2 linked regions of the Mytilus edulis genome follow. The protein of the gene in region 1 purifies or fractionates together with the protein of each later gene. This does not show direct contact. Links are inferred from orthologs where the notes say so. Each region holds a gene or a part of one and is shown on either strand. Other genes may lie near its edges. The genes, in order: phosphatidylinositol polyphosphate 5-phosphatase type IV-like; retinal rod rhodopsin-sensitive cGMP 3',5'-cyclic phosphodiesterase subunit delta-like.

Evidence for each region.
Region 2: the proteins of phosphatidylinositol polyphosphate 5-phosphatase type IV-like (region 1) and retinal rod rhodopsin-sensitive cGMP 3',5'-cyclic phosphodiesterase subunit delta-like purify together in Homo sapiens (affinity purification with mass spectrometry; 3 studies listed by BioGRID and IntAct, with this or other methods). This does not show direct contact. The link is inferred for Mytilus edulis from reciprocal best matches to the Homo sapiens genes INPP5E and PDE6D.

What each region holds. Positions count from the first base shown.
Region 1 is NC_092345.1:8,935,219-8,946,216, forward strand, and holds the start of phosphatidylinositol polyphosphate 5-phosphatase type IV-like, read left to right. Parts: upstream 1-6,406; 5' UTR 6,407-6,549; coding exon 6,550-6,634; intron 6,635-10,569; coding exon 10,570-10,998. Other genes in the region: uncharacterized protein, read right to left, coding at 4,572-5,506. UniProt on the Homo sapiens protein: Phosphatidylinositol (PtdIns) phosphatase that specifically hydrolyzes the 5-phosphate of phosphatidylinositol-3,4,5-trisphosphate (PtdIns(3,4,5)P3), phosphatidylinositol 4,5-bisphosphate (PtdIns(4,5)P2) and phosphatidylinositol 3,5-bisphosphate (PtdIns(3,5)P2).
Region 2 is NC_092356.1:54,305,209-54,315,569, forward strand, and holds the start of retinal rod rhodopsin-sensitive cGMP 3',5'-cyclic phosphodiesterase subunit delta-like, read right to left. Parts: upstream 4,070-10,361; 5' UTR 3,758-4,069; coding exon 3,717-3,757; intron 1-3,716. Other genes in the region: peroxisomal targeting signal 1 receptor-like, read left to right, coding at 6,637-6,732, 7,109-7,150, 7,809-7,844, 8,655-8,778, 9,536-9,725, 10,101-10,239. UniProt on the Homo sapiens protein: Promotes the release of prenylated target proteins from cellular membranes. Modulates the activity of prenylated or palmitoylated Ras family members by regulating their subcellular location.

The sequences.
Region 1 (10,998 bases):
CATGAATCAACACCATTGGTCGAGTTTCAGGAGGCCTTAAATATTATACATTTATACCAGTCGCTGGTATCTTTTTAAGATCAAAGTTAATAGAGTTTAATATTATGTTTGCCCTCAAACAATGTTAAACAGAAGAATTTAAATGGTATTTTAGTCTGCCATTTAATTGATTTAGATTATTTCACAAAAATTCAATTGCTGCGAATGCTAACAAACATTTAATTTATCTATCTGTTAGTCACATAATTAAATAAGGTGAAATGAAATTGTTCTATGCAGTGAGGGTCATTAGAAAATACTTAGTATGGCATAAATAGTTCGTCTAAACATCAGCCCAACAATGTTAGATCTGTAAATTTGCTTTCGCAATTTTATTGGTCTTCCCTCACCCAGATTCAAAACTCGCGCTACTGAGAGATCATGGCAGGCACTAGCACCAAATCACCTTGCACTGTATCTGATGTGCTAGACCACTTGACCACCTCTTGCACTGTATCCGATGTGCTAGACCACTTGACCACCTCTTGCACTGTATCCAATGTGCTAGACCACTTGACCACCTAGGCTCTACATACATGTGTTCATGAATAAAATAATATAATGTAAAACAATTGGTTTGTTTTTTTGTGTTTTAATAAGGCCATAAAAAAGAATAGGTTTGTTTGCCCAAACGCTACCTACCAAGAAAAAAGCTGCCTACTCAAATTCTTTTATTGTCCTGATTTGAAGAAGTTTTTTTTTAATCAGATAGGCATGAAGACTAATAAACACCCGATACTTCAATTTCTCTTTTTGAAAAAAAAAAGAAAATGCCTACCTACCTACCCACTGTCTAATCCTTTGGGTAGGGTTTGGTCAAATTGGACAAATCAAAATATTTTTAATTGTGGCCTCAACACCAATTTTAAGAACCGCATCTAGCCTATTTTGTGGTGGCCAGTTTTTATTGGTGGAAATTGGCCGGAGTGCCCGCAGAAAACCACGACCTTAGATAGGAAAACTGACAATCCTAGTCATTTAAGATTTGAGTTGAGGCATCTTCACCAACAGGGTTCAAACTCACAACTTCAGTGTTGACTGGCTAGTGATTACAGTATAACTATTAGACCACTCGGCCACCAAGGCCCCTTTAAAGAATATTGTATGGCATTTTCAATATCACACACCGTAAAGTAATTCGGATTATAGTCTATAGCGACAAGTCTGAAATATGTGTCTTGTGACATCATGAGACTGAAATCTATGTCCTTTTTTCAAGGTTGATTTTCAAATGGTTTCTGTTGTCAAGGAAAGGAGGGTAAAATACCATACCTAATAATGACTTCACGGTTCAGCTAGCAAGCAAGCTAACCAAAGATATAACCTTTGCCTACACAACCAATGCAATAGGCTGTAAATGCTACCCAATTTGTTTACCATGTCACACAACGATTTCTGTCTCCTTTACATACTGAAGAAAATCTACCCAAAATATTATATTGGTTTCTGAAAACTTTAACTGTATGGATGGGAGATAACTCTTTAAATAAATGAATTTATACCAATGTTTAACACTTTATACTGATTCTAGTTAAGTTTTCATTTCAATGTTTGGGTTCCCAAAAAATATATGCATCCTTCATTGTATCATAACAATTTAGGAAGAAATTGTCTGATGCATTTTCACATTTTTCTTAGGCATTTAATTTGCAAATCTAATAATTGCAACAAACATAGAAGGACATCAATCATTGTCCTATTCTAAATATTAACTTACATATTTGTACATGTTTAATTGTAGATCTACTGTTTGTCTATATTCCATTTACCAGACTACATGTAAATATTCTGTATGAATACATGTAAGTACAAATGCATGCATGGAATGCTAGTCAATGCTAGTACTTTTACTTTTAATATGTGCTGTCATGACTTGCAAATGTTCATGTTAATGTTGAAAGGTATACGTACAGAGTTAAGACTTTTATGTTTGCTCTATAATCATGATAATTTTGAGTTCTACATACACCTATGTATGTCATGTATGTAATTATATGTAGGACGTATGTAATTATATGTATGTGATTTATAAATTTTATCATGTATATATCTCTAGCTTTTTAAAGTAATAAATTAATCAAAACATTATTTGCACCTGAAGAGTCTCTTTGAATAAATTTAAAATATATATATTTATCAATTGAAAGGTTTCTCCCTGGTGTTACATGTAAACGTAAGGGTTTTTATAAGTGCACTTAGAATGTCACACAAAATTTTCAACTACTCTTATTCTCCCACAACTGTAAGCATTCTGAAGTAAGCTTTTAATCCTCTTATTTGCTTATAGATTCTTTTGTGTGAGAATTTGATTAAATAGATGAAAAATGGACTCTATCTGTCAAATCAAAAATAGATCAAGGTGAAAATTATTTAAACGCTTGTCATTTACTGAACATAATGCTTTATTACAATGTATGATTTATAGCGCATATATATGTATATATCATATATATATATATATGTACAGTGAATCATAATAATCTGGATTAAAAACAACCATGCCCTTATTCTGAATAATCCTATTTTGTATGAAGCTTTTGGAAAATTTTCATTTCATAATTACATCTTTGCAAAGGAAATAACAACAATGTTCTATTCTTTTAACAAACTATTTTTAAAACAAATATTAATAAATCACCTGTATCTATATTTTTGTAAATATAGAATACAATCATGACAATGTAGTTATTTCTAGCTTTTTTTTTCTTTCTCAGAAAACAGTCTGTAATTGCTCTGATTTTAAATATATATATACATGTACAGTGTATACGCATTTATTTTTACATTTATCATGTACATGTATATTACAGTATATATATATGGAGTAAAATTATATTGTTCTATGAATGATTAAACAGGCAAATTATATATAATTAGGGATCTGAAACTTTAATATGCATACATGTATATACAGATGTAAATCTTCATTTTTTAAACTTTATATAATTCTGTACAAGAATACTTTAAATAAAGGACTTTTATTTAATGTATGTAAATGCTTTGTAAGATTTTTCAGGGGCATCAAATTAACCATATATTTGAAAAAGCAAGTAAACCTATTCTGTAATTGATAACAATGACATCTGACAGTGGGTCATTCTTGCTTTTTATCAGATATCCACATCAAATGTTACTTTTTAAATGGATAAACTTGTCAATTTTCTTTAACATGTTTACCTTTCGTTTCTTGTATGCATGCTATTTTAGAAATTTGAGAATCTTTAAAGGTGAAAATAAAAATTGTAAAGGCTTTCAAAATTCAAATTGTAGATTTTCAGAATTGAATGACAAGTTTTTCCAATACACTTCTTTCATCAATTGTTAAATAGTTCTGATCGAAATCTATATGAAAAAGTTTTATCTGAATACTTCCTTAAGAATATATGTTAAACTGCTCAATGATACAAACCTATAATAAAAACATGAAAAGCAATAACCAAATGATCATTTTTTAAATCAATAGTTGTTCAAAAACTAATTTATATTTTCTCATAGTCATATACATACATTTTGTACTACAATATTACTGAGGGGGAGGACAGGGGATACCCTTCTCCCTTCTCCCACCTCTCTTCTCCTTTCTCCTACCCCTCTTCTCCTTACTTTTTTTTTTTAATTTACCGGAAAAAAGAGAGATATTTTATTTTTTCATATTTTATTTTTTTCTCCAACTTTTTCTCCTTTCTCCCAGCCTTCCTCTCCTTTCTCCTACCCCCTTTCTCCTTTCTCCCACCCTCTTTCTCCTTTCTCCTACTCCCTTTCTCCCTGTCTCCCTTACCCCTGTCCTCCCCCTCATTACTGTACAATGTACATTTGTACCTTGGCTGGTTTTTGAGACAGTTATATGTGTACATGTACAAATGTATGTAGAAAATGTCCAACAAGTCCTTCAAACATCAATTCAGAATTTAAAAAAATCATGTAAAGTAAAAGTGACAAACACATCATTTTCAACATGTTCAATACACAAAATATATGTACATGTATGTGTACATGAATGTCTTAAATACAATTTGTATCTAAAAACTGAATGTCATTTGATTTTTGATTTTTTTCTCAAAGACATACATGTACGTATACGTTCATGACATTCATTTGTAACTGAATATTTGAGGTAAATTAATGTTAAATTTTAAATGTATGATTATCATGATTATAGCTGAAGTTTTCACAATTAATATGCATGTAACAAGCCTTTAATTTTTGTCATTTTGAATTTGAAAGGAGAGTTAAAATGTAGAAGGACCAGAAACAAATTCCTTAATACATACATCATGTACATGTTATCTAGCAACAACCTGTAAAATAACATTGTATAAAGAATTTTTGTGGAAAAAAACTTGTATTGGGGTCAGTGGCCCAGTACATGTAGCTATAATATCATGGCGAACTTAAACAGTTTTGTACAGACTTGGCAATTTACTACCAACAGCTTTCTGATTACTGAGAACAACTTTTACTACCCATGAAGGACTTACAATGTACAATCTGTCTATTTTTACTAGCAAGATTCAATGTATTTATATACTTACACAGTAACTGTTTGAATGTTTTTATTGTGACCATTTGGTAGAGATGGCACAGTAACTTTGGTAGGTGCTTTTCCAGCTGATCTTTTTCCAGATGCTACTCTTGGTGTTTTAAATGAATCTCTTTCATGCTCACTTGAATTGTCGGATTCTGATTTCCATGCAATATTGTGCATCAATGCTTCCTTGGAAAGTTTATACTTATAGGCTAAACTAGCCACATCTTTGTGTTGGTGATGATTGTGTTTAGTGCAAGTATGAGAACTTGATGAATGAGGAATGGGGTTAGAATTAGATTGAGAACATTTACAAGCACCATTTGAGAGGGAGGTAGTTTCTCTACGTGTGTAACTAAAGGCTGCAGTAATGAGAGGCTGTGATGTTGAAACAGTATATGGTTGATTGCAATGGCTGCATATATTCTGACCAGAATTCTGTGAATAAATATTTCCTGATGCAGTGGTATTGTTTTGTGCACTTGTTATTGTTGCAGTATTTTGAACTGCTATTTTTCGGGGTTCATTGGATTCTTTTTGGGCTACTGTTTTAATTCCACTTAACTGAGAATTTTCTTCCCTATATTGTTCAATATATGATTGATGGTAAGGATAATGTTTGAACACGAAACTATTTTGAATCAAGTTTTTTAATCGTGTTTGTTCTCTCCATGAGTAAGTAATAGGTTGTGGAGTTGGCTTCTCCTTTTCCAGTTTGCGTAGAACACATTTTGAACTGCTAAACCATCCTGTCACATCCTCATTCCTGGTCACTTTAATAGTTTTTGGCACTTTTAATTCAGTGTTTCCTTTTGATTCAACCATGTAATCAGTCAGCCACAACTGATCATCAATTTCCAGCAATTTATTTTGAATCTGTCTATCCAAAAATATATTGAGATCATGATTTGAAGGGGATTTTGCTCCTCTAGCAGAGTTCATGGTTACTCAACTCACAGTTTTAAGTTTAATTTAAATATGATTTCTACTTTGTCATGACATTTCCTTTCATTCATCTCAAGTGTAAACCTAAATTGAAATAAAATAACAAGCAGTTTATCAATAACTTCCTTTTATCCATATATCCAATTGGAAAAGGTTGCTGCAGTCTCCTGACACATGTGCCCTTTCCTCCATTTTCAAACAATGATTGTTGGCATGAACATCCCTCTTGGCTGTTACTTTTTGTTTAACCTCCAAATTTAATTAATTATTTGTCAATTCTAGATTTCAAACACAATTTGCATTACGGAATAATTTAATCGTTTCCTCTTAAAAGATTGTTTTTAACAGAAGTCCAAAAGATTAATTAAAATGTAATTATCTTAAAACGAAAATAAGAGGGAGTGAATAGAACAGCATCGTAAATGTTTTGTTATGATTTGCAACATTAAAAAACTACGTATTTCATCATGAAATGTACAAAAAATGCAGTATTTACACTTTTGAGTGCAAAGTTATATCTTATATGCAATATTATTTCATTTCTTTTAACATTAATATTTTTGTACGACATTCCACCAGCAAACGCTTGACAGAATGGACATTTACCTTACCAGCAAACGCAACAGAGATTCTAAGTACCTTGCAAATATTACTGAGGCTGCGCACTGTGGATTGCATTCCAAGATGGTGGCTGCTGATATAAACAAATACACACGCCGGTAAATAAGCGTGTTTTATCACATTAATGCAACTTTTATATGATATTATCAGTTCTCTTACAGCCTTTGCCAATCAACGTTTTCTCTGTCAAATTACTCAGAATCTATAATGGCATATATAAATCTCAGATGCTGATTCTGAATTTATACAGTTGCTATGGTTTACTCGGGGTAAATAATAATCAAGAATAATGATTAACTGTGGTTTCTGAATTAATCATACATCCGCATAACAACTTTAGTTGTTAAGAAAACACACTATCTATGTTCAATAATGCATGAATTTGATATGCAGTAAGTAAAGAAGGTAAACATGTAAACATGGATGTGTTACCCAAATTTCACACACAACTTTTATATTCACATACTGATAATCACTGCTGTAACAGTTTTTCTGTCAATACAAGTAAGTTGATATGAGGCATATACACAGGCACTTGTCTCAGAAAAAATTTCCTATATACCTTATTATAACACAAGGTACTTAACTAGCATTTTAGAAAAATGTCGGGTGGTGACGAAGTTCCGTTATATGCCGCTTTATAGGCTGTTAACCCCACTAAAACTTGTTATATCGTAAATCTAAATTGATTTATCTTTACAATGGTGTATAAAATGCCTACATTTGTTGTCGGAATCATCCGTATCAATCCTACCAAAGTATGTCAATCATAATAATTTTGCAAACCGCTGAAGAATTGGCAATAAACGCGTCACGTCTCCTTGTATATCTCGGTTTCCGATTGGTCAATTCTATGGGAAAGTCTAAATGATTCTCGGAGTTATCTCTGATCTTGTTTCATTTCATACGTAAAGTCAAAAGAGAGTCTGCAAGACATTGACGTCATGGAAAAATTTGTAACTTAGTCTTAAGTCTTTAGTAAGTGTCCCAAATGACACTGTAAACACTTGTGTACGTTTCCTCTTTTGTAGTTTCTTCACATATGTAATGTTCACTCATGTACTTAATTGAAATTGTGGCTGCTGCTTAAAAAATTTTGACTTAATTTTGATATAGATTTATAGTGTTTTTTGCTGTATAGTGTTTTTGAATCTACCAGACTCCGTTAAATAATTTTCCAGATGGCACAATATCTCATTTCGATTGTCTCTATTAATGTCTTCTTCATCGATTCCTAATAAGGTGTCTAAATCCATGTGTATATTTCCTGTAATAAAGTAAATAGATGTTCTCATCCTCTCTCTAGCCTCCTCATAGTTAGAACAATGTAAAAGTTCGTGTTCTACAGTTTCTGGCTCTCCACAGGAACAGTTTTTGTCTGATGATGGTATAATTTTGGATTTATAATCATTTAGATCACAATAACCTGTTCTCAAACTAGTTGTAATTGAAAACGACCATTTGGATGGTAAATCTTTTGGTATTTTCTGACATACTTTTTGATGATAGTTGTAATAATTTCTGCCACGTTGACTTGATTCCCATTGGTTCTGCCATTTTCTTAAAACACTTTCTCTTGCTGCACGTTTTATATCCTGCCTGGTTACTTCTGATGGTTCTTCTATTTTTTCAGCTTCTTTAGCTCCTTTTTTGGCCAGTGAATCAGCAATGTCATTTCCTTGGATATCAGCATGACCAGGTGTCCATTCAAAATTTAATGGAATTCCATTCATCTTTAATACTTTCATGTTTTTCTTAATTTCTCTTATGACTTTGATGTAATTCTCTGATTTCCAGTTTAAAGTTAAAATTCCAATTGAGGTCTGACTATCTGAAAAAAGTGTAATTAGACATACCACAAACAACACTTGTTAGATTTTTTTCATGGTATATTATATAATTTTACTAACTGTATGATAAGTTCTATTCATACGAAAACTAACAGGTTTTTTTTAAAACAATTTTTATAATATATCATTTACTGCGGACGTGTATTGCCAATTCTTCAGCGGTTTGCAAAATTATTACGATTGACATACTTTGGTAGGATTGATACGGATGATTCCGACAACAAATATAGGCATGTTATACACCATTGTAAAGATAAATCAATTTAGATTTACGATATAACAAGTTTTAGTGGGGTTGACAGCCTATAAAGCGGCATATAACGGAACTTCGTCACAACCTGACATTTTTCTAAAATGCAAGTTAAGTACCTTGTGTTATAATAAGGTATAGGAAATTTTTTTCTGAGACAAGTGCCTGTGGGCATATACTCTGAAAATGTGTGATAGTGGTAGTTTACATTTGCATTGAAAATTTCAACACTGAACAGTAAAATCACATCTTTCAGCATGGCTTGGGAAGAACTCTATATTTTGAACATCTGGATAATTAACATGTGCTTCTAGATACATTTGTAACTCAACCTGAGACAAGCTTAAACTCTAAACAATGGATCTATAGATTTTTATATCTAGAAATCTATAATTTAATAAAGTGAAACAATAATTGCCTTTATTTCATAATTTTGTTTTCTGTTTTGCTTTTTATTTTGTTTTTATTTTTCTTCAATTTTTAAATAAGTTGATCTATGAACTCACAAAATGATGATAACAATTTCAAAAAAAAGTATAAAATTATTTAAAATATCTAGGCATTTCGCTTTTTTCTTATCTCAAATAGAACAATAAAAAAAATATATATTATTACATTGGTTGCAATGAATACATTGATTTCCCAGTTAGATAAAAACCGATAATTTCACATGTGAAATAAACGCGGTTATTTCACTCTCTGACGTCATACAACAATAGGCGTTGTCAAGACGTCGTTAACGTCGGATCAAAACAAATTGTCAATGCGTAGGAAAAAGATATAGTTCCTTACATTTTCTACATTAATTTTATAAAAAAAAGCCATTTGCCAATGTAATAAAAAGAATAACTAATCGCCGTATTTGAATATCAAAAATAAGACAACTTGTGACCGAACGCCGCTATGGACTAAAGTCCTGCTGCGCACTCGTTTAATCCATGCGTCGTTCGGTCACGCGTTGTCTTATTTTTGATATTCAAATACGGCGATTAGTTATACTATAAATAATTAACACCAACAGCAAAAGCAAATTAATCATTATCATTCATCAGGCAAACAAAAAAGAGCTTACCAAACTATCTTAGACCAAAAATGAGAATATTGTTGCAGAGTTTGGGATCAACACACTTTTGCAAAAATAAATAGCCTGGAACAACTGCAAAGAAGAGCTGCAACAGATATCATAACTCCAGCAGTGTACATGCTAAATGATTTAAACTGACCTAGCTTAATTGTAAGAACACTGATTAAAAATAGTCTTATACAAAGAAAAACCAATACCATCCCAAGATGTTATCATATTAGAAGCCAATCTAAAAGTAAAAAAAACAAAATAAACTGTCAATAAACAAACTTGCATGTTTTTCACAAGCAAATTTTCTTACAATGTGTTTGCAATTTTTTTTATTAGTTTTCATGTGTGAAGAAGTTTCCTGAAATTGATAAAAGCTAGGTGGATCTGTTTATTTCTTTTTTTAGCTCACCTTCAGTCTGCACGGTTAGCCACTAGTCCGATGCCCCAGACTAGTAAAATTTTATTCGGACTAGTAAGTTTTTGCAAAATTTTGTTTGGACCAATAAGAAAAATGTCAGGATATTGGTCTTCGGACACGTAGTTGAAAAAGTTTTTGGTGCAGACTGCACCTTTCCTAAAAGGAAATGTGAGCTTTTGCCATCACTTGGCGTCCGTCGTCGTAAACTATTTCAAAGATCTTCTCCTCTGAAACTACTGAACAAATTCAAACCAAACTTCATCTGATTGATTCCTAGGGTATCTAGAATAAAGTTTGTGTTTTAATTCCCATTTCATCAAAAAACATGGCCGCCATGGCTAAAAATAGAACATAGGGGTAAAATGCAGTTTTTGGCTTATAACTCAAAGAGTCTGACCATTGAATAGAAGTCTTTAAAATTTGATAGATAAGACCAAGTTTTTTTAATTTGTTGGTTTATGATTTTTTACATGAAAAAGTCAGGTCGGTTAAAAAAAGGAGAAAACAAATCTTTCAAGACAGAACAGTGTATTTCCACTTACTAACACTATGTTTGGTACACTATTTTGTCATCATTTCTTAAATTTTAGTTCCATGGAATATTATTGCTCAGCTGTTATAAACACAAAATGCATGCCATTGTCATACAATTTCAGCATACGAGGGTTACATGTATGTCTACAAGCAAAGACAAATTAAATCATTTGAAAAAAAACCCTGGCCTAAACATTGATTTGACTTGATAATGACCAGTGACAAATATGTCATGCACATTCAAGACAATTAAAATTTGAACTACATGTATGAATAAACAGAAATTTTAATTTAAAAAAATATGTGTTTTAGATGATGTTTGTGACAAATGCTACCAGAAGTTGATATGGCAAAAAGAATGTACCATGGAAAGCCATGATGTCATAGAAAAGGAGAAAACAGAAACAAAACCTCCAGCCAGCAAATCAAAGAAAATAAAAAAGAAAAGTGCCATTGCAAAACTAACTGAAAAAAGAAGAATATCAGAATCTGGAAGTGAATTTGGATCAGCAGCATCATTACGATCAAACACTAGTAAAATATTGCCAGATAAAAATTTACAAGCAGAAAATATCAATCTTGATAAAAAGGGAGATAAATTAAAATTAGAGGCAGATAAGAAAGATATTGAAATTTCTAATTTGAAAAAGGGAGATAAACCTTCAAAATTAAAAGTTGAAATAAAAGACAATTTGTTACAAAATTTGAATACTGATACCACAAAGGAAACTGTTAAAGATA
Region 2 (10,361 bases), on another chromosome or scaffold:
TTGTAAAATATATTATTTCATACCATTTGACTGAATTGTTTCTAATAAACTTATCAATTAATTAACTCAACAGTAGCAGATTCAGATAAAAGGGAAAAAGGGGGGGGGGGGGCTTAGAAGAAGAAGACCTAGTTTTGATTGGATTTAATTTTCTCTGTAAACTGACTTCTTAAACAGGTCAAATCATGTTCTGACTTCAGAGAGTCAGTCAAAACTAAACTTATGTCGACTTTTAAGTCTAGGATTTTCATATTGATTTTAAAATGTATGACAAACCAGATAAAAGACTGATGAAATATGGTCCCCTCAAGTCACAATATTGAGGACTATAAAAAAAAATGTATTTGGTATATTTTATATTCAAATGTATTTTTTTTAACAAATTTCATCAAATTTATATCTTAAAAATTTATTTTATTTCTGTATTTTCATGACTTTTTTTTCTGTAAAGTTAACATATAGAACTTTTGGTTGTAAAAAATCATTATTCTAAAAACCATTTGACTGAATTGTTTCTTAAAAAAAATTAATTATCCCAACAATAGCAGATTCAGATAACGAGAAAAAAAAGGGGGGGGGGGCTAAGATGAAGAAACCTAGTTTGATCGGATTCTTTTTCTGTAAACTGACTTAAACAGGTCAAATCATGTTCTGTTAAAAAAATGTTGAGGAGAAAATACTATGAAAATCAGACTAAGTTTGGTGACTTTGTTGTCCTTCAAGAAGTGGTACATATAAATACATAATATTTTCACTACAACTATCTATTGGGTGTTTTTTAAATAGAATTTTTAGCAACATTTATAACTTTGTAATTTATGTTCAATTGTACACTTGTTATTCTTAATATATATTTTTTTGGGAACAAAATCTTGTCAGGGTTTCTTATGGTACTAGCATGACAAGAGCATTCATATTCTTAAATACTCTAAACATTAAAAACAAGTCATTATCTTCAGATTATTCTGAGTCTTTCTGGCCTTATTAAATTAAAGTCAGAACATTCAGACTTTCATAAGTCAGAACATTCAGACTTTCATAAGTCAGAACATTCTGACTTTCATAAGTCAGAACATTCAGACTTTTATAAGTCAGAACATACTGACTTCCAATGTTCTTCTCACTTCTGTAGAAACAAAGACTATCTATATTTCAAATAAAAGGTTAATGCTTTATGTGGCTAAGCATCTGGGGTAAGAATTATAGATGTGTAACTTCATAGGAAAACATATATGCCATATAATTAGGGATTGACCCTGTACATGTATGTCATTCAAATCTTCTTGAAATGACGAACAGGAATATTATATGGTTTAGGGGTGGTGATCCAGACCATTTCAAAAAGGGGGATGGGGATGACCCCCATGGACTTTCCCTTTATTTCATTTGATTTGTTGTATTGTCCCATATAATAATATATAGGCTTAAGGGGTGGGGATCTCAACCGTTTACATGTTTTCAAACATGAGGGGGTGGGGTGACCCCAAGGGACTTTATCTTTATTTCATTTGATTTGTCTTGTTGTCCCTTACACTAATATATATGGTTCAGGGGTGGGGATCTTGACCATTTACATGTTTTCACACTGTAGGGGCAACCCCCCCCCCCCCAAGGGACTTCCCCTATATTACATTGGGTTTGTTTTATTTTCCCATACAAGAATATATATAGTTTAGGGGTGGGGATCTCGACCGTTTACAAAATATAAGAACATTCGCAAATGGCAGGGGAGGGGGTAAACCCAGAGACTAGCCCGGTATATTTCATTCAAATCAATTTGACATTATAAAAAGGAATATATATGGCTGTTTACAGGTGGGGATCTCGACAATTTTCAAGATATAAGATCATTCTCAAATGACAAGGGGTGGGGCGACCCATAGAGACTAGCTTGGTATATTTCATTATACTTTACAGAGAGAAAAAATTGAGTTAAGGGGGCAGGGATCTCGACTGTTCAACATTGTCAAATGACAGGGGTAGGGTGATCACTGGAGCCTTACCCTACATTTCATTTGATTTGTTTTTAAGATCATATTCCATGTTCATAATTGAAAAACCCGTTTTGTGAATCTCTTTATAATGTTCTCAAGTTAAAATCATTTTTAAAATAAAAATAAAAAAATATTTCGGTTCTTTTAGTTAAACCCTCCCTTCCCTTTTCCTTTATTAAAATTATTCCGATTTCATTTCATTTTCATTAATATCAATATTCAAAAGATCGTTTTTCTCATTGGGAGAAACGAAAAAACAAATATATTTATAAGCCGCAAACTCGGAAAGGTTAAAAAGTCAATTCATGATTGAGTTTAAAAATAGAAAAATCACGTGATGATGTTCAGCTCGAAGCAATAATTTTACTTTTAAAATTGCACTGACTGGTTATTAATGTTAATACTGTTTAAGACAACACGAGTTGTCTCCCGAAAATAACAGTTCATTATCATAACAACATTTTCTGACCTGAACAAGTCAGAATTGTCAGACACCAGGTCATCTCAAAGGCTACGCGTCCGTATTTACAGGTCACGCGCCTTCATGAAACAGCAACAAAATCACTTGCAAAGACCTTCTTCACACGCAAAAAATATTAAAATGGCCATGAAAATACGGAGGTAATATGTATTACCTTCTGAAAATGACCACATTGACCTAGATTTTCAATAAAAAAACGTAAATAATCACTATATTTTCAATAACTTCTCGTTCGAGAAACTCCCAAAACAACAACTCTCAAACACGTGATCTCTCGCAAAAAACCACGTGATCGTATGTGTCTTAGATCGGCGGCAAATTCAAAATATCTTCTGGTTTGACGGACTCGATGGAAAACTACGCAAAACAAAAATTGACCCGTACAGGTCAGAATGTCAAAACATTTTCTGACTTGAAGAAGTCATTTTATTCTGACTTGTTTATGTCAGAGCTCTGACTGTAAGTGGGGCTATTTTTTTAAAAGTGGGTCCAGTTGGTAAACCAGTTTGGGACAACTTTTTAAAAAGTCGGTCGAGTTGGTGAAAAAGTGGGGCGGTTAGGTGTGGGGCAATGCATTTTGAAGATGTTAAATGACACTTCTTACTAAACATTCAATACTACACAAAGGTTGACCATTCCCAAAATGTGATCTTCTTCTTCTTCTTCCAGTAAGCGGCCACCGTCAACTGGTTGACTATTCTGCCACATTTATGGAGTGCGCGCATGTATGAAAAAATTTTAATTTAACAAAAACAAAAACTAGGTGAATTTTATATACAAGTGCAAATAAAAACATGTCAATTTAATTACTGACGGAGCTGAGCCTTGAAAGATTCAGGACTCGGGGCAGAGACCTTACAGTTGGGCAAGATTATTGTATGAAGCCAATAGTCCAAGAGACACAGATGCTCAAGTCAAGCAGCACCTATTTCTAAATAGTAATAGAGTGTATAATATTATAATTTACACGGTCTTCAACAGTGTCCCAAGTTTTAACACATATAAACTGTGTCTGACTGTGACAACAGAATCTGGAGAACAAAGGGATGACATGATGTCATAAAGTAAAGCTGTAGATATATACATGTAGAAAAGGTCGAGCAAAGGAATTTAAATTTGCATGTCACATAATTTAATGTAAATGTCACAAATCAGGATGTCTCTAGACGCCGATGATAGATTTGGAAATTTGTAAACATAATTGATGTGAATATATGTACAGTTATCTTGATTAAGGATACAGTTTGAATCCTTTCATTATGTCCTCTGCTTTTGATGGCATATTGATTTATAATTGTGTTTTATCAAAACTAGTCTGGTTCTATTTCACGATTCTCCAATGTCAACAATTTAGAAGTAGTTCGTTAAATTTTCCTACGCGACAATCTGTATCAAGTGAATGTTTGTATGATCGTGTTGGTTATAATGGTCAATTGTATACCGAACTCTTTAATTTGCATCAATTTTCTTAATTTTTAATCCAATTCAGTGAATATATTTAGTAAAGAAAGTAACCAGGTTGAAAATTAGTATCATTAGACCTATTTCTCGCACTTACCGGAAAGCGTCCTGTTTTCAATGAACGATGTTGTTCGGCTTATGTGGGACGATGGACTGACCTGTGTTTCTCAAAATCATAGTTAACTCTAAGAACGTGAAGGAAACCATATGTAAATATATATTGCTGTTCAGCGAATATAAATGTACTTTCTGTATTGAATCCTTCTTTTTCTATGGTTGTGGTAACTTCATTTATGAAATTTATGCAAGTCCTCCTCTTCACCTGTTCACGACTTGTAGATAATTTTCATGATACATGGATAGTGCATATAGCTAGCATTGACTTAGTCCAAATAATTATGACATCTTGAAAGTCTATTATATTTTTTTTTGTCAAAGGAAGGCATCAAAGCAAACATTTAAAATAGCCTTCCAAGATGTCATAATTATTTGGACTACCAATCTACCATTGACTCTGATCTAGCTGCGGAACTGTAGCTCTTAGGTCCTTATGTTATTTTTTGACTATTTGCGGACGGTCCGCAAATAGTCAAAAAATAACATAAGGACCTAAGAGCTACGGTTTCCGCAGCTAACTCTGATCATGACAGCTTGGGGATTATTAGTCCAAATAATTATGACGTCTTGAAAGGCTATTATATTTTTTTTCTTTGACACCTTACATCGACGATGCGTCACAGAAAAAAAATATAATAGCCTTTCAAGACTTCATGATTATTTGGACTAGGACAGTCAGGGGTATTACTTGTACAAGTTATTTTTAATTACTTGAAGAAGTAATATTAATATTCTTATATAGGTAAATTTGCTGGATACTTATACAAGTGAATTTTTTTTTACTTATTTTGGTAAAAAAAGATATTGCCTGAGTTTTGTCCCTTAGACATTTAGTTTTTTTTACTTGTAGATGTAAAAAAGTCATCCTATCTTCTTTTATTGAATTCTTATGATTTCTTTGCTCTAATAGAATTTTAAATTATCTGCCCTTTGCAGATGTCTTTACTTATCATTTAAGTGTAATTTCATGGACAATGAAAATCCCATTTGTCTGTTATCCTCAAACACTGCTTATTTATACAAGCCCCAAGGAGCAATCTTTGAAGGCCTTGCACAATTACTTAAGATCTGTGTGCAGTCAGTTTCTTTGTTAAATTAATGAGATGAAACATTGAACTCTAACAAAAAAAAAATAATGAGCAAACCTGGGAAAAATCATTTAAGGCAATGGTGTATAACACGCCTACTTTTGTTGTCAATATCATCCGTAGCAATCCTACACATCAATAACCTATAGAAAAAATGTGTTTATAATCCTATAGATATTAAATTCTATGCCACTGATTGAAACTTTTCATCAATAAAGTTTATCAGAATGTTTGCAAATAAGTGAAGAATATTTCCATTCATCAGTCTTACATTTTCATAGTGGATAACATGTGCTCCAAGGTTCTGATTTTTTCTATCTTTTTTCAAGTAAGGGTATCGAACTTCCAATAATCGAGGATACAGTTAAATTCTGCTAACTTGCCCCACTTGAGAGTTAATTTACACGCTCACCTCATTAAGTTTCAAAATAACACATGACAGAAACCCCAGTTGTCATTATTTATGTATTTTAATTTACATGATTAATTAATTCACCACATAAAAAAAGTAAATAAATATTGTGGATGAAAATTAACCGTTGCTTGATTTCATTAATGTGAATTATTTCATTCAGTTAAATGCATGAAATGATATTGTTTTATTATAAGTTGTATAATGATGATTATGCTACATACAAAAATGTATGTATATTAACATGATTAAAGTATTTTTTTCTTTTTTTCCTTTATATTTTGAAAAAACTTGTAAACATTATAACAAATGACTAGCATGCATCATCATGATTATCATACAAATGTACATTGTTTGTAAAACATGTCACATATGTTTGAAAAAATATCAAAAATCAAATTAGTAACAGACATTATGTTACATGTTATATATATTTACTAAGAAGTGATAAGAAAGGGAAGCGAATTTCAGAAGGATCTTATCATACTCATCATACTTATTGAGAGTCTTAAAACTAATGTAGATTGTATTTTAGAACCCACATCACTTAATTACCCATTTGTTGACATGACTCTCATGCACTCAGGGTTCTCGCTAAGGATTTTTGAAGGCGAGTCCAGGGGCTCTTCATTTTTAGCCATGATGAGTCCAACAGCAAGAAGAAAATATTTTATTGCAATACAATGTAATATTTTAGTCTCCATTTCCTAACAGAGCAATGAAATGACATTGAATTCATATCACTTTTAAACTTTTGCTATAAAATGATGACATTTGTGTTTAACTGTGTTAAGTTTATACAAAATATTTCAATCTTGATGCTTCTGTGGACTCACCAGTTTTAAAAATGGTGAGTCCAGACAGATTTTGATGAGTTCAGGACTCATGGACTCGCCTTAGGAAGAACCCTGCTGAAAGCAATTGAGGCTTCAACATGTTCAATAACGGGATGGCATGGTGATATTTCTAATATTCTATTGTAATTTTAGATAGACTTTTGCCATGTGTATTTGATTTTAAATATCACGACTATGCTAGTAAAATTAATTTTAATTAATACTTTTCAGATTTTTAACCTACAAAATGGCTATGAGAAATTTGGTGGAGGGGGAATGTGGAGGCTCTAATTCACTAATGAAATTGACGTCACATTTCACACAGGATAGAGGATTACGACAGGTATATGTACTTGCATATATATATATATCAGCTGAAGACTGATCTTAAAAGTATTGTATTGCAACATATTTCTTATTTAAGTTATTACAATGTTCTTGTATAGCAAATAACTAAATAATTAAAACTGAAAAAATGTTAGTTAACAGTTGAAGTGATGGTTTCTAAATATGTATTTAAATAAGTTCTTTAATTCGAACATACTAAAAGGTCTATGTAGTAACGATGAACATTTTGCATCTGTCTTTGTCATGATTGTCTGTACATGCTGTAATTGTCTGACAAAACAGCCCTTGGAGGTCAGAGTAATCTCAGACTATCATGCTTTTTAGTTATTTCTACTTTGTAAAATATTTAGAAAAAAAAAATTTACTTACAGGAAAACTTCAGTCATGGAAGAGTCCAGCACCCACAGCAAATGGTAGTATTATCTAGAATAAAGTCTTTTAATACTGAATTGGTTTTCCTCAAAGTTCAGTATCTTTGTGATTTTACTTTTAACAAATGTCAATATATATGTAGGAGGATTTGGTAATAGACAACTATCCACAAGAGACCAAATGAACAAAAGTTTTATCAACTTAGCAACAAATCAAACTGTATACATGATATAAGGAATAAAATTGAGAATGGAAATGGGGAATGTGCCAAAGAGACAACAACCCGACTGTAGAAAAGACAACAGCAGAAGGTCACCAATAGGTCTTCAATGAATATTGAAAAAGACAACACTGATTTGGTTACGTTTTTGAGATTTAGATATATATCTTATTACCATAGATTGTGTTAAGACATCTTAGATGAATTAAAAATAAGTAATCATACTTCATACATTTATTCCATTCTATATATATATGCTTTCTTCGAATAAGAAATGAGGTTCCAAATTGAAATTTGAATGTTTATCTTGTACAATTTGTCACGTTTTCCTCCCCTTTCTTATCAATTTGAATTATCTATAACATTAATTTTTCAGTCTGTTAAAAGAGTTAAATTTAATAAAGATTTGTGTTCAAATTTAATGATCAGTACATTGATAAATCATATTTAGCATGAAGTAAATACTGTATATTTTGCAGCCTGGCAGACCAATAGGACAGTCAACAGAAAATGAGGTAATTAGATATGAAGTATCAAGTGTGGATTAAGTCTTATTCAAAAGGGGGTTTCAAACATTGGAACCCCCCTGGATTCTCCAATGAGAATGGCTTATCAGGTTTTTTTTTCTCATCAAGTTTTGTTTAAGGTTTGGGACTTGGAATGGGCTATAAGATATATGCTGTGTTCATTTTACACTGTTCACAGCCTATTACATGTTATACAACATTTAAAAGGACAGTGAAATGTTTACGTGACTTACAAAATGGAAAATTAAACGGAAAAATTTCTAATACACAGAATTGCATCATATTTAAAAATACCATAAGCATTAGAAATTCTTTGGTTAATTGCAGTTCAGAGAATATAGTTTATCGAAAGAATTTTATTGTATAGACTGAATTTTCGGCTCTCCCTAGCTGACACTATTTGCGAGTTTGGTCTTGAGGAAACGATGATAGTCCGTCAGAATGGGGCATTAAATGGCTGACCCGTATTAAGAGAGAGCCATATCTCTCGCACGTTAAAGACACCCTTGTAGATTTCCAAAAAGAGCAGGCTAATGCCGCTACAAGGCAGCACTCACATCCGCAAAGTGGAAAGGAATTAATATAAGTTGCAAAACTTGTTTCCAATTCCACTATAAATAAATATGTTTTAAATAAATAAAACTATATATATTAGTTTTACATGCTAATTTTGAGAAGCTTTCTATTTCCTTTTCAATAGAACATGATTAAAATTTTCAGCTGATTTAAATAGAATTATCTCCCTTAGTGTTATGTACCACCTTAATTCAGTTAATTGTGTTTTGTTATTTTGTACAGTTAGTTGATGAGTTTCTGTCTAGTCAAAGAATTACGATGGCTCCACAGACATTCCACATGGGTGGATTACTTCAGGAAATGAGAGAAATAGAAGAAGCGGAATTCAAATACACACCTGAGAGAGGTAGGAACCAGTAAAATTATCAAATATGCAAATTAGAAAGATTGAAATATCGTATACCAAACACACAAAAATTGTTAATTGAAATATACACCTGAGAGAGGTATGATCCAGTGAAATTTTGTACTGAAATTATCACATATGCATTTAGAAAGATTCAAATATCAGAGATCAAATCACACAAGAATTGTTTATTCAAATATACATGCATCTAACATACCATAAAAATTTGTCAATCATCTGGTAAGTGAAACACAACTTATAAAAGGCATTACTTGTTGATAAATCCAGATCTCATCTGACAAGGGAAATAAATTACTGATGAATTTGAAACAAATTTGAGAAAGGAGGTATTGATTATTTCAAACATGTTATTTGTAGTGGTTTTGGGGAATTATCCATTCAATTCTTAAGAAAATTCAATTTCAGTAGTTCACTTTATCCACAAATTCCACAACAAAATAAATGTCTCTGACTCAAATAATGAAGAATTCTCAAATAAAAAAAAGTCTAAGTGTGACGTGGGATTGCCATTTTTTTGTTATCGTGATATGTGAAAGTCAAATTATTGTGCCATGAAAATGGGAAATGAAGTTTAACGGAGAGTGGAAATTCCAAAAAAAAATGAGAATTGCCTACGTACATACAAATGTAGTGTAAGTGGGATACAAAAATCAGACAAAACAGTAACTGGGATCCGAAATCAGAACCCCACAATGAGACAAAGATATGCAATTAACTTTATAATTTCACATTTCAGCTCCAGCAATTGCAGAACTTGCATCATCAGACTCATGGGCTCAGGAATTTCTCACAACAGAAGCTGACAGTCCTTCAGAGAAATGGTCCAGTGAATATTTATCAGAAAAACCCACACAAACATTAGCTCCTACTAACCTTAAATGGGCTGAGGAATACTTGGATCACACAGAAGCACACACTAGACCATGGTTAGTAATTATAGAATTGATTTAAAATAATATTGTTTTATGATAATTTTACAGAACTCTTTTTGATATAAAGAAAGTATACAACACAAAAGTTGTTTGAAAATGATTTGTAATTTTTCTGTATTTTTGTAGTCAACTGTTCTTTCTCAGTATTAACATGAGTCATCTGCAATTAAAGAAAGAAGCCTTTTACTTATAATCAATGCATATCTTAGTATATAAGTAGATAAACTTTGATAAAGGCAAAAATCATTCATACAAAATAAGGAATGATCCAAAAAGATCATAACACAAAGCTGGGAACAACTATAGGTTACTGTAAGTCCTTCAACAATGAGTAAAACCCATACTGTATATTAAACTGTAAAATTACAGGGAAGAAGAATTTAAAGAATTGGATGACACAAAATGGCTGGATGAATTTTCATCAGAAAGGGAACAGAATAAAGATTTATCGGATACAGCCAAAGAATTGTTAGGATCTGTTAACGATCCCAAGTTTAGTAATTCTGAAGTAAGTATGATTAACCTATCCAATTGTTATTATGCCTTTGTCTTTGTTGAAATCCGTTTTTCTGATTGGCTGATATAAAATTTTCTTAGGGTTATTTGAGCTCTTGCAAAAAAAAAAAGATA